Saccharomyces cerevisiae S288C: one gene and its partners. The protein of the gene in region 3 purifies or fractionates together with the protein of the main gene of each other region. This does not show direct contact. Each region holds a gene or a part of one and is shown on either strand. Other genes may lie near its edges. The genes, in order: COR1, PET9, QCR7 and QCR10.

Region 1 (3,541 bases), on a different chromosome or scaffold from region 3:
ATTGATAATTAGGTGCGGTGTGAAAACTAAAGTACATGTCAATTTTCTTGTTATAATCACCGCCAGAGTAATCGTACTCAAAATCATAGTCTTCATAATCATCATCGTCTTCACTGTCAGTAGAAGATAGAGTGTCAGCATCTGGATCTTCGTCACTAGAGTAAAAATCACAGTAATCTTCACTTTCTATCGTCTTTTCTGCATTTTCCTCCTTACCGACGTCATTTTTACTAGCATTAGCATTGGACAATTCGATATGTTCGATGGACAAGTTTTCAGGTCCTTTACTGAAAGGGTCTCCGGCAAGGGCGTTGGTTGCAGCATTATGAGTTTCCACATTTTCTGTAATCTTATCCAGCAAGTTTGCGTGCCCGACTAAAACTCTCAGGTTGTAGTCTTTGTTTTTAGTAGTCACGCTAACGCATTTTGCCAGCTTGGAGCGTACTTTGCTGGCCAAAATATATTGATCTTGAATCGATGGGGTTGTAGAGTTCATTATAATCGCAGTATGCGGAATTTTCTATGTGAGAAAAACAATAAATAATTGTGAAAAAACTTGGATGTATAGTGTAATACTATAAAAAATTTCTGCTGGTATGTAGCTGTCTTTTTATTTTTTCTTTGGTCATACAGGGCTGTAAGCAGAGAAAGTCGAACAAAGACGTAACACCAGAGAAAGAAACTTGAATGCTTTTGTTAGATATATATATATATATTTATACATATGCCTCTCGCTAGAGGATATATCGCCGCGGAGCGCAGCGAACTACATCCGAAAACATCACAAATAATGCATGGGCAACCGGATACATTGCATTTAGTTTTGCCTTTTTTTCCAATTGTCACAGCTTCCTCGAAGTTTCTGACCCGGTAAAACGTGCGAAATGCCTCTTCTAATGCCGAAACAAGGGAAACCCTTAAAGCTTCCGTGCAAGCTGACCATGCCGGTCCGCACTTCGGGTCTTGTCCGTCGCCCGTGATCCAATAGGATACAACTACAAATCTGGGGTAAAGTCCGACTTTCGGCCCGCCGTGCGTTACTGCATGTTACATCACTATGGTGGGGACGGAAAATCACAGATGAGTCAGCTTCGTGATTTCCTGTTTCGGTGATGCTTGCAGTATACTTCAAATACTTCGCTTTACTTGGCAACCTTTTTTTTTGCCTCTCTAGCATTTCACCCATACCCACCAGGGGGAAAAAGAAAAGAGAGATTTTAAAACCAGATATTCTTTTTCACGATTTACATAACCCGGACTGGGTAGGGTAACATGTATATGAACTTTAACTGTGACCCGGACAGCACGCTTTCTGCACCAATGAAATGCCAATAAATTAACAGTGTTTTTTGTCCTCCAGAAGTTCAAGGGCCCGCGCTGTCAGCTGCACCAAATAAAAACCAAACAAGAAAATTAAAGGCCTACAGCGCTCCCTAACCGATATTCCCCTACTCTCTTTCCCCGTCTTATTCGAGGAAAACAGCGTATAATAAAGCAATAGCTTTCACAGAAAAAATATTATATCATCCCTGTTCGTATAGGTAACGAATCCTAATATTAAATTGCTACCATTGCTGATCAAGACAATTGTGGAGTAATAATACGAGAAGAACATCATCGTCACCATATCACTGAGAAAGAAAACACAAGATATATAAACAAAAAAAATGCTAAGAACAGTAACTTCAAAGACTGTATCTAACCAGTTCAAGAGGTCTTTGGCTACAGCTGTAGCAACCCCCAAGGCCGAAGTAACGCAATTATCTAACGGTATAGTTGTAGCCACTGAGCATAATCCTTCCGCTCACACAGCCTCTGTCGGTGTTGTCTTCGGCTCCGGTGCTGCCAACGAAAACCCTTATAACAACGGGGTTTCCAATTTATGGAAGAACATCTTTCTATCCAAAGAAAACTCTGCTGTTGCCGCCAAGGAAGGTTTGGCATTGTCTTCCAATATCTCCAGAGACTTCCAATCTTACATTGTATCTTCTTTGCCAGGTTCTACCGATAAATCACTAGACTTCTTGAATCAGTCTTTCATCCAACAAAAGGCTAATTTGCTATCTTCTTCTAACTTCGAGGCCACGAAGAAATCTGTCTTGAAGCAAGTTCAAGATTTTGAAGAAAACGACCATCCCAACAGAGTTTTGGAACATTTACACTCCACCGCCTTCCAAAACACTCCATTATCTTTGCCTACTAGAGGTACTTTGGAGTCCTTGGAGAATTTAGTTGTTGCTGATCTGGAATCTTTTGCCAATAACCATTTCTTGAATTCAAATGCTGTTGTTGTTGGTACCGGTAATATCAAACATGAGGATTTAGTAAATTCCATCGAATCCAAAAACCTAAGTTTGCAAACCGGTACCAAGCCCGTACTCAAGAAAAAGGCCGCTTTCTTGGGTTCCGAAGTTAGATTGAGAGACGACACCTTGCCAAAGGCGTGGATTTCGCTGGCTGTGGAAGGTGAACCTGTCAATTCACCAAATTATTTTGTTGCTAAATTAGCCGCCCAAATTTTCGGCTCATACAACGCCTTCGAACCCGCTTCTAGATTACAAGGTATCAAATTGTTAGACAACATACAGGAGTACCAATTATGCGACAATTTCAATCATTTCTCTCTTTCTTACAAAGATTCCGGTTTATGGGGGTTCTCTACGGCCACGAGAAACGTTACCATGATTGACGACCTCATCCATTTCACTTTGAAACAATGGAACAGATTGACCATTTCTGTCACTGATACTGAAGTTGAACGTGCCAAATCGCTGTTGAAATTACAATTAGGGCAGTTATACGAATCTGGTAATCCCGTCAATGACGCTAACTTGTTAGGCGCAGAAGTCCTAATCAAGGGCTCCAAACTGTCTCTGGGTGAGGCTTTCAAGAAAATTGATGCAATCACAGTCAAAGATGTTAAGGCTTGGGCCGGTAAGAGATTATGGGACCAAGATATTGCTATTGCTGGTACAGGCCAAATTGAAGGGTTATTAGATTACATGAGAATCAGAAGTGACATGTCCATGATGAGATGGTAAGATGTGTGATAATATATTTTCCATGCACATAAAATAGAAATAAGCAAGCTGCTAGATGTATACAGGCACGCTCGCACACTCACACCATAAATGAATTTTTTACATGTATTTTATATTCTAGTAACCCAAGTAGTCTTCATTATTTATTGGCAAGGTCACTGTTCCTTGCAAAAGTAGAAAATAAAAAAAGAAAAAAAAAGAAACTCGTAAGAAAACAAGATTAAATAAACGTCTTATTTTATATAAGTGTATATATATATATATATATATATGTGACCAAGATCCTGAAGAACTATCGATTTTAAAAATAAGAAAGATGAACTTTTTTTTGGTAAAACATATTTAATGATATTATGCAAATGGGAAGTTGTTGGTAGAGAAGTCATCTCTCGATCATCTGGACTTCTTGCCTAATGGACTGCTAATATTCTCACGGTAGGTAATACCAGCAATCGCAACCATCTTATCCTCTTGTGAAGAGCTCATCGATGGACTCACTA
Region 2 (3,409 bases), on a different chromosome or scaffold from region 3:
GAGAGAAAAAAAAAAAAAAAAAAAAAAAAGAGAAAAACATGATAAAAATTGCATATATGTGGGTAGAAACCTTAAAAGTTATAATAAAGGGAATCCCACGCAGGAGCGGCATGGGAAGATAATATAATGAAACGAGCAAAAAATGGAGTCAACGTATGGCGTATTAAGATTGTGTTTATTTTTATGCAGGAAGGGGAATCGCACAGATAGTCAATAACCAACTGGCCGACTAACTGCATAAGAAATCGTTGTTTTTTTTTTCGAAGGCTCATTCAGATAAAGAAATCACTACGCGTTTTGTCTGTGAAGTCACAGATTTGAAAAATGAGAACGAAAAACATAACCACCTATGAGATTGAGTCCCTACATTTTACCATTTACGCTACTAAGTTACCCAATATCGTAACACGAAATAACAAGTTAAGGGGAGGAATGAAAAGGTTATCAAAGCGGCAGGAGACAGGAGGAATAACGCAGGACGAGACCCAAAGATAATATTTCTATAACGAAGTCGTTCGAACCCATCAGATTTCTGCTTTGATTACATACACAAGCTTTGTTTCTTTCTACAGGTGATTGTATGTGGGCTTATGGTATGCCTGCAGGACGCGTATGCATGTACGACGGCACGACCCGGAGCAAAACGGCGAGTGCTCTAACGCGGTGTATGGGCTAGATTCGTAATAGGGCTCTGGGTTTGCTGCAAGGGGTAATTATCAGCGATGGAATGACTCCGTTACCGCCCGACGCTATGTACGCCTTTTCCGCGTGCGCCGGTCTTTACCGGCAGGGGAGAATGTGGTGACGGCGGAGCCGGCGTATGGTGCCTCTACAAAAAATACGAAGTCTCATTTTAGTCACACTGATTTTCATAAGAAATGAGGAAAAAGAAAAGAGATGAAAATTGAGAAAAAAAAAAAAGCATTGTCGGGTAACAAATTATGTAGTGAAGATCAAAGGATATACACACAAACGAAGATGCGCATTAGCCACGTCCATCCCTTTCCCTTTTTCCCTTTCTACTCCGTTTTTACAATAATGTACGTTATAAAACAAGCGGCTGAAGAACAAGTTGGGAATAAATGTCAGCAAGGAAGATTGGTGTAAAGTGAAATCAGATAAGCAACTTAATACACAACCTCAAAAAGAAAAAATTACCATGTCATTCATACCTATTGTATGTGGTATGAAGAGTTTCGACTCTTCATACGATACCGTTCCCGGACATCAAAACCTGTATTGCCCGAATTGTCACAATTATAGTGTCGGCCCCATAAAAAGAAAGGAATTTTTCACTATTTGGTTTATACCGTTGGTTCCGGTCTTCTGGGGAAAACAGTTGCACTGCCCCATATGCAATTGGCGACAAGATTTTAAGAATGACGAACAGCTTAATAAAGTCATTCAAGAACAACAAAACTTACGACAAAAGCAGCCCAACTGATAACGAAATAATTTCCTTTTCTTCCTCTTATATATGTATTTATATATATGTGTTCACTATAACCATACATATATTATACAGAAGTATAGACACGATTTTTCCATACGTAACAAATAACATCACGATGCACGAGCACTGTTTCCAATGGAGAACAAGCGAAAGGCGGTAAATGCGCTATGCTGATTGGTGTAGAGCGCGGGCCAATGAGAAGGCCCCACTCTCAGAGGGTGAGGTGCGATTATCGGGGACATGTCTCCGTCGATCGGGCCCACGTCGTCGCACAATATAAATACCATTTGAGTTTTTAATATTAATTTTTCACGACAACCCACTCAAAAAAGTATATATTCACTGTTAGTTATACGGAACATTGCAATACATCTACAAGTCAAAGGAGCCCCTCTATATTATTTATATTTGTCGTTGTTCTTTTTTGTGTGCTCTTTTATACTTCAGAATCATACATTAACATACATATAAGCAAATAGCCATGTCTTCCAACGCCCAAGTCAAAACCCCATTACCTCCAGCCCCAGCTCCAAAGAAGGAATCTAACTTTTTGATTGATTTCTTAATGGGTGGTGTCAGTGCCGCTGTCGCCAAAACTGCTGCATCTCCCATCGAAAGAGTTAAACTTTTGATCCAAAACCAAGATGAAATGTTAAAACAAGGTACTTTGGACAGAAAATACGCAGGTATCTTAGACTGTTTCAAGAGAACCGCTACACAGGAAGGTGTTATCTCATTCTGGAGAGGTAACACTGCTAACGTTATCCGTTATTTCCCCACTCAAGCTTTGAATTTCGCCTTCAAGGACAAGATCAAGGCCATGTTTGGTTTCAAGAAGGAAGAAGGTTACGCCAAATGGTTTGCCGGTAACTTGGCATCTGGTGGTGCTGCTGGTGCCTTGTCATTACTATTTGTTTACTCTTTGGATTATGCAAGAACTAGATTGGCTGCTGACTCCAAGTCCTCTAAAAAGGGTGGTGCTCGTCAATTCAACGGTTTGATCGATGTCTACAAGAAGACCTTAAAATCTGATGGTGTTGCTGGTCTTTACAGAGGTTTCTTACCTTCTGTCGTTGGTATTGTTGTCTACAGAGGTCTATACTTCGGTATGTACGATTCTTTGAAGCCTCTATTGTTGACTGGTTCTTTGGAAGGTTCATTCTTGGCTTCATTCTTGTTGGGTTGGGTTGTTACTACTGGTGCTTCTACATGTTCTTACCCATTGGATACCGTTAGAAGAAGAATGATGATGACCTCCGGTCAAGCTGTTAAGTACGACGGTGCCTTTGACTGTTTGAGGAAGATTGTTGCTGCTGAAGGTGTTGGTTCTCTATTCAAGGGTTGTGGTGCTAACATCTTAAGAGGTGTCGCAGGTGCTGGTGTTATCTCAATGTACGACCAACTGCAAATGATCTTGTTTGGTAAGAAGTTCAAATAAGTCTAATCTGGCTTGATTCTTAATCTAAATTCTTTCTCACATTTTCCTTTTTTTCTTCTTTGGATTTTTGGTGTTTAATGAGTGACACGATTTGTTTTGATAATATTATTATCCTCCTATTTTTTTAGAAATTCTTTTCAACAAGAATCAAAGATTCATAAAAAAAGAAAACGATGAAATTTTTTGAACAACTTTTACGTATAAAGAAGAAAAAAAAAAAATTCTAAATATCCAGTAAATAGTTTTATATTAGTAGTATTCTTTCCCACTTTTTAAATGTCATCACATGATGTTTCTTATAAAATGCAATTTTTTTATTACTTAATCACCGCCAAATAGGTCTATCACTCTTTGTGCCGGTGGCAGTACTTTGCTTAAGGTTACTGGACAATGAACCACTTGTCTTACTTTTAACCAACCGAGTCTTTACATTTGTGTGTTCCTTGGATTTTGCAGAGGTTCCTGACGATAAGTTGTTCATAGACGTCGACCTAGAGAACGTTGTTTGCTTGTAAAGT
Region 3 (2,699 bases):
TCTTGACTCTGAGAAACAAACAGACGACGAAGAAGAAGAGAGTATTCCGGAAGAAATACTACGAGGAGAACCCCTCCACGTATACAACGAAACTAGTGGATCTGATAAAAGTGTCATTTTGCCGACGAAACAAAAATCTGCTCCCATTAACAAGGATAGTAAGCACAGTTCAACTCAGTATGAAGAAAAATCTTTTAAGAAGAATAGAAAGTTCAAAATTTTCGCCAAGTTATTCTGCACTAGGAAATAGTAGAATAAATTTAAGATATATAGACCACTCGATACCCCATCACCTGCATAATTATAGAAAAAATAAATACTAATAGATACCCGATTTATAACACTAGACATTACAATATACGAATTTCATAATAAAATTTTAAGTTCAGACTATAGATAAATAAATAATATGAAGTAAACGTTTCAAGCAAACGCTTATATATATATAGAGAGATAATAAAGGATATGATTTAGTCTCTGTCCCTTCTTTCAAATGAATATTTAATGCCTTTTTTTTTTCGGGTTGTGTGTTCGTGGTGATTTTTTTATTCTTCTTTTCATTTGGAGACCTCTATGTTGTCTAACTCGTCCTTCTCCTTAGCTGCAGCTTCAGCTTCTAATATGTATGGCAACAGGTAAGGAACATCCTCTTGGGCTTTGATCCATTCGTTTCTTGGCAGTAAATGATGAGTCAACTCGGTTTGATGAGCCCTGATTATTCTATATGCTCTGGCATAAGATTCATCTTCAGGGAGTCTTCTTAAAGCGGTCTGCATGATGGGATTTTCCTCTGCAATTAAGTCGTCAAATTTGAGCCCTAACTTCTTGTAACCTGCGAGGTTAATGAACTGATTGGCAACTGGAACACATAACTTGGAGAGGACGGGTGACTTCAAAATATAGTCACCAATTCTCGCAATAGACGTAAAAGACTGTGGCATTTTGTTCTTTCTGGAACGTTTAATTACAGTTACTAATATTCTGATAAATTGTCCAACAACAACCTTTACTGCTATTTTTCCAAGCTTTTACATCTCTTCCCTTTTATTACTGCTCTATGAAAGTAAATTGTCAGGCCCCCCGCCGGGGTGACCCGATAAAAAGCGCGTCGCTCCTGATTGGTCAAAACAAGATCACAGCGCAGTTACACATCTATAGACAATGTACATATGGCTAATAGACCTTAATAGTGATACTCTGTTGGTTTTTGGCCTGCTGTGTTGGGGAAACCGCATTGCAGTAACGACTTGTCCACAAGATGAGGATCTTCAGTGAGGTTCTCTAGTTTTTCTCTGTCTTTAACGAGGATCATACCACAGTACCCCGTGGAGTTAATGTTTAACATCAATGGCGGTCCACTCTTGGCATGCGATCTTGGAACTACACAGATCCATTTCTTGGTCAGTAGCACATTGTATGACTTGGTCAACTCCGGAGACTCATTGGTCCAATCTTGGAAAAATGTAAGTGCTCTCTGCATCAAAGATACGTAACACATAGCAAGAAGATCTTCGTCCACTTGATCAGACGATTCCGGCAGCGGCAAGACGAAATGAGCAAAGGAAACCTTATCATCTTGTAATGGCTCTGCGTTGAAGGTGGGCAAGAAATGATCCTTTCCGTTGCACAATACGTCCTGAAAAGGTATAAATTTTTCAGGCATTTGCATGATCTGCAAGTGTTTGTGATCTTGTGAGGAACCGCTATGAGGTCCACAATTATAAAAGACCAGATACCTTTCACAAGTGACATCATCGTCCTTGTCTCCTTGGAGAGAACAGAGCACATTATAAGCAGTCATCAAGTCACTTGGCGTCAAAGCAGATCTCTGGTCTTTAAACTCGCTTGTCACTAGGAGACTATGTTCAGGGACCACAGGAAATTTGTTGAGTAGCAGCTTATATTCTCCGTCACCATTTAGATCTTCAGTCACCACTAGTTCTTCGTCGGGATTGGCGAACGGGTCCTCCGCCTTTGAATCGCTATTCTTGTTAGCGTCTGGCTTAAGTGCCAAAGATGGAGCAAATGTCACCCAATATTGTGTCGTCGTTTGAGGATCTTTCAACTTCTTGGATTCTGCATGCGTTACTTTCAGATGCCCATTCTTTTTGGCTGCAACGAACTTATCGTGGATTTTCTGTTTCAAATTCTCTTCAATCATCTTTGTCTTCCTATTTTCTCTGACCCAGGGGCTCGGTTGCCTTTTAATTTTATTATATTTCAATAGTTCAACACATTTTCGAAACAGGCAAAAGCTTTACACGTGACGTTGGTATGATCGAGTATTATTCATATGGTCGTTCATGATTGCGTATTTACGACAGTATCTCAAAAAGTTTCACTCAAATGCGGAGAACTATCCGCGATCTACGCATTGAGCTCCTTTAGTTTGTAATTGCCGGGACCGATTTTTTTTTTTTTACTTCTGACTGTTCCACTTAGGAATCTTACATGACGTTAAACGACTAGCGCAGTTCCCCCAATATCGGCCGAAATTTTATTTCACCAACATAACGATGAGTAAAAAGAACTTATGTTTCTGAACAGATTGATCATTAAAACTAAAAAACTACCAGAATAAAGAAATTTATAGTTCCAATTGAGTGCATGCGAAAAGAATCGCAATGCCGCGAATTACTCAAGAGATATCTTACAATTGCGATTATGGCGACAATACTTTCAACCTTGCTATTGATATA
Region 4 (2,519 bases), on a different chromosome or scaffold from region 3:
TTCCAAACCAAGCGGAGCAGACACGGATGATATCGATGAGAATGATGAATCTGGGCAAAGTATTCTATTAAATATTATTTCCCAGCTGAAGCCAGGTTGTGATTTATCTAGAATCACACTTCCGACATTTATTCTGGAAAAAAAATCGATGTTGGAGAGAATCACTAATCAATTACAATTCCCAGATGTTCTTTTAGAAGCACACTCCAATAAAGACGGGCTGCAAAGGTTCGTTAAAGTGGTAGCATGGTACCTAGCAGGTTGGCACATTGGGCCCAGGGCTGTGAAGAAGCCCCTAAATCCCATTCTTGGAGAACACTTTACAGCTTATTGGGATTTGCCTAACAAGCAACAAGCCTTTTACATTGCAGAACAAACGAGTCACCATCCTCCTGAATCTGCGTATTTTTACATGATTCCAGAATCGAATATTAGAGTTGATGGAGTTGTTGTGCCAAAATCGAAATTTTTAGGAAACTCAAGTGCTGCAATGATGGAGGGGTTAACTGTATTGCAATTCCTTGATATCAAGGATGCAAATGGTAAACCAGAGAAATATACTCTATCGCAACCAAATGTTTACGCAAGGGGAATTCTGTTTGGCAAGATGAGGATTGAATTGGGAGATCACATGGTCATTATGGGTCCTAAGTATCAAGTGGATATTGAGTTCAAAACAAAGGGCTTTATTTCTGGTACCTATGATGCAATTGAAGGTACAATTAAGGATTACGATGGTAAGGAATACTACCAAATTAGTGGTAAGTGGAATGATATTATGTATATCAAAGATTTGAGGGAAAAAAGCTCTAAAAAGACTGTTCTCTTCGATACTCATCAGCATTTTCCTCTAGCTCCTAAAGTCCGCCCATTGGAGGAACAGGGAGAATACGAATCGAGAAGGCTTTGGAAGAAGGTTACGGATGCGCTGGCTGTACGTGACCATGAAGTAGCTACAGAAGAAAAGTTTCAGATAGAAAACCGCCAAAGAGAGCTGGCCAAAAAGAGGGCCGAAGACGGCGTTGAATTTCATTCAAAACTATTTAGAAGGGCAGAGCCAGGTGAGGATTTAGATTATTATATTTACAAGCACATCCCTGAAGGGACCGACAAGCATGAAGAACAGATCAGGAGCATTTTGGAAACTGCCCCGATTTTACCAGGACAGACATTCACTGAAAAATTTTCTATTCCGGCTTATAAAAAGCATGGAATCCAAAAGAATTAGGCTTCTCATTCTATTTTAATTATACTAGTACGATTTCTCACTCTGTAATTTAATATCAGTGTAATATGCACCTAGTTATGGGTAGTTTTTGCTAACGTTACGAGCCGCGAAACTGTCCTCAATCTTCACCACTACCTCTAATGACTGAAGAATGCTATGCGATATAACGCTGTCGCACTTTGAATATATACTTATATTTACATAGTTTTCAAGTGCGTATTACTATTGCAAAGTAGTATTTTGTCACGTGATTTTGATCCAATTAAAACTAAATATGGTTCAACCCGTTGTTTCCGCATCAAAAAACCATACCATTTATCAAGGGGACGGGATATATCACATAACAGTTTGAATGCATAATTTGTTATAGATATCTTCTGGAATAATCTTCACAGCAAAAGCGCAAGTCGAATAATATATCGATAAATACAATCCATAAGACTTAAAACTAACCTCAATGGCGGTAAGTATCCTATCATATTATGTGAGCTAGAACCGAATTAGTATACTAACATTTATAATACAGTACACTTCTCATCTGTCTTCAAAAACTGGTCTACATTTCGGTAGACTTTCTTTAAGAAGTTTAACAGCTTATGCTCCGAATTTAATGTTATGGGGTGGTGCTAGCATGCTTGGGCTATTTGTATTCACAGAAGGATGGCCTAAGTTTCAAGATACGCTATACAAAAAGATTCCGTTGTTAGGACCTACATTGGAAGATCATACTCCACCAGAAGATAAACCTAATTGAAGCCAAAACATCCAACCGGCTGAGTGATTTTATTTATTTGTTTTACGTTCTTTTCTATCATTTTGGAAGAGGAATTAATGCAAAACACATTTGTATTTTTTTTTATTTTTGCATATTCTCGATTATCTATACATATTTTTAAACTGGATCATAAAAGGTATAAAAAGTAATTGATCCATACAACATTTTTAAATATTTACCCCTCTATTTTCAGAATATTTACTAAAACATCAGTTATCAAAGAGTAGGGAAAAGTTAACTACAGGTTTGTTTTTCCTCTTTTTATGTATCTTTTGAGCTTTGTAATTGGGCAGCACATCTCTATGTTTTCAGGGAAACCTATTTCATTCGCCATTTTGATGATTTAGGCATACGCCAATGCTAACGCCGTTTCTTGTAATTTCTATTTTTTCAAATGGAGTACTTTACCTTCCTCCCGCAGCTGGAACTTTCAACCCGCCGGAAGAAAAGACCAAATAATATTATAATTAATATTTAAAACCCTTGAAAGATCATCTCTTAAAATAACCTCAAATA

Evidence for each region.
Region 1: the proteins of QCR7 (region 3) and COR1 purify together in Saccharomyces cerevisiae (affinity purification with mass spectrometry; 4 studies listed by BioGRID, with this or other methods). This does not show direct contact.
Region 2: the proteins of QCR7 (region 3) and PET9 purify together in Saccharomyces cerevisiae (affinity purification with mass spectrometry; 3 studies listed by BioGRID, with this or other methods). This does not show direct contact.
Region 4: the proteins of QCR7 (region 3) and QCR10 purify together in Saccharomyces cerevisiae (affinity purification with mass spectrometry, with the first as the bait; 2 studies listed by BioGRID). This does not show direct contact.

Annotation. Positions count from the first base shown.
Region 1 is NC_001134.8:133,643-137,183, reverse strand, and holds COR1 (ubiquinol--cytochrome-c reductase subunit COR1), read left to right. Parts: upstream 1-1,667; coding exon 1,668-3,041; downstream 3,042-3,541. Other genes in the region: ECM13 (Ecm13p), read right to left, coding at 1-496; YBL044W (uncharacterized protein), read right to left, coding at 818-1,186; PSY4 (Psy4p), read right to left, coding at 3,435-3,541. UniProt on the Saccharomyces cerevisiae protein: Component of the ubiquinol-cytochrome c oxidoreductase, a multisubunit transmembrane complex that is part of the mitochondrial electron transport chain which drives oxidative phosphorylation.
Region 2 is NC_001134.8:162,523-165,931, reverse strand, and holds PET9 (ADP/ATP carrier protein PET9), read left to right. Parts: upstream 1-1,934; coding exon 1,935-2,891; downstream 2,892-3,409. Other genes in the region: YBL029C-A (uncharacterized protein), read left to right, coding at 1,160-1,444; SHE1 (She1p), read right to left, coding at 3,217-3,409.
Region 3 is NC_001136.10:1,495,608-1,498,306, forward strand, and holds QCR7 (ubiquinol--cytochrome-c reductase subunit 7), read right to left. Parts: upstream 942-2,699; coding exon 558-941; downstream 1-557. Other genes in the region: HLR1 (Hlr1p), read left to right, coding at 1-250; APA2 (bifunctional AP-4-A phosphorylase/ADP sulfurylase), read right to left, coding at 1,184-2,161; CAB1 (pantothenate kinase), read left to right, coding at 2,625-2,699. UniProt on the Saccharomyces cerevisiae protein: Component of the ubiquinol-cytochrome c oxidoreductase, a multisubunit transmembrane complex that is part of the mitochondrial electron transport chain which drives oxidative phosphorylation.
Region 4 is NC_001140.6:106,141-108,659, forward strand, and holds QCR10 (ubiquinol--cytochrome-c reductase subunit 10), read left to right. Parts: upstream 1-1,685; coding exon 1,686-1,691; intron 1,692-1,754; coding exon 1,755-1,982; downstream 1,983-2,519. Other genes in the region: oxysterol-binding protein related protein OSH7, read left to right, coding at 1-1,228.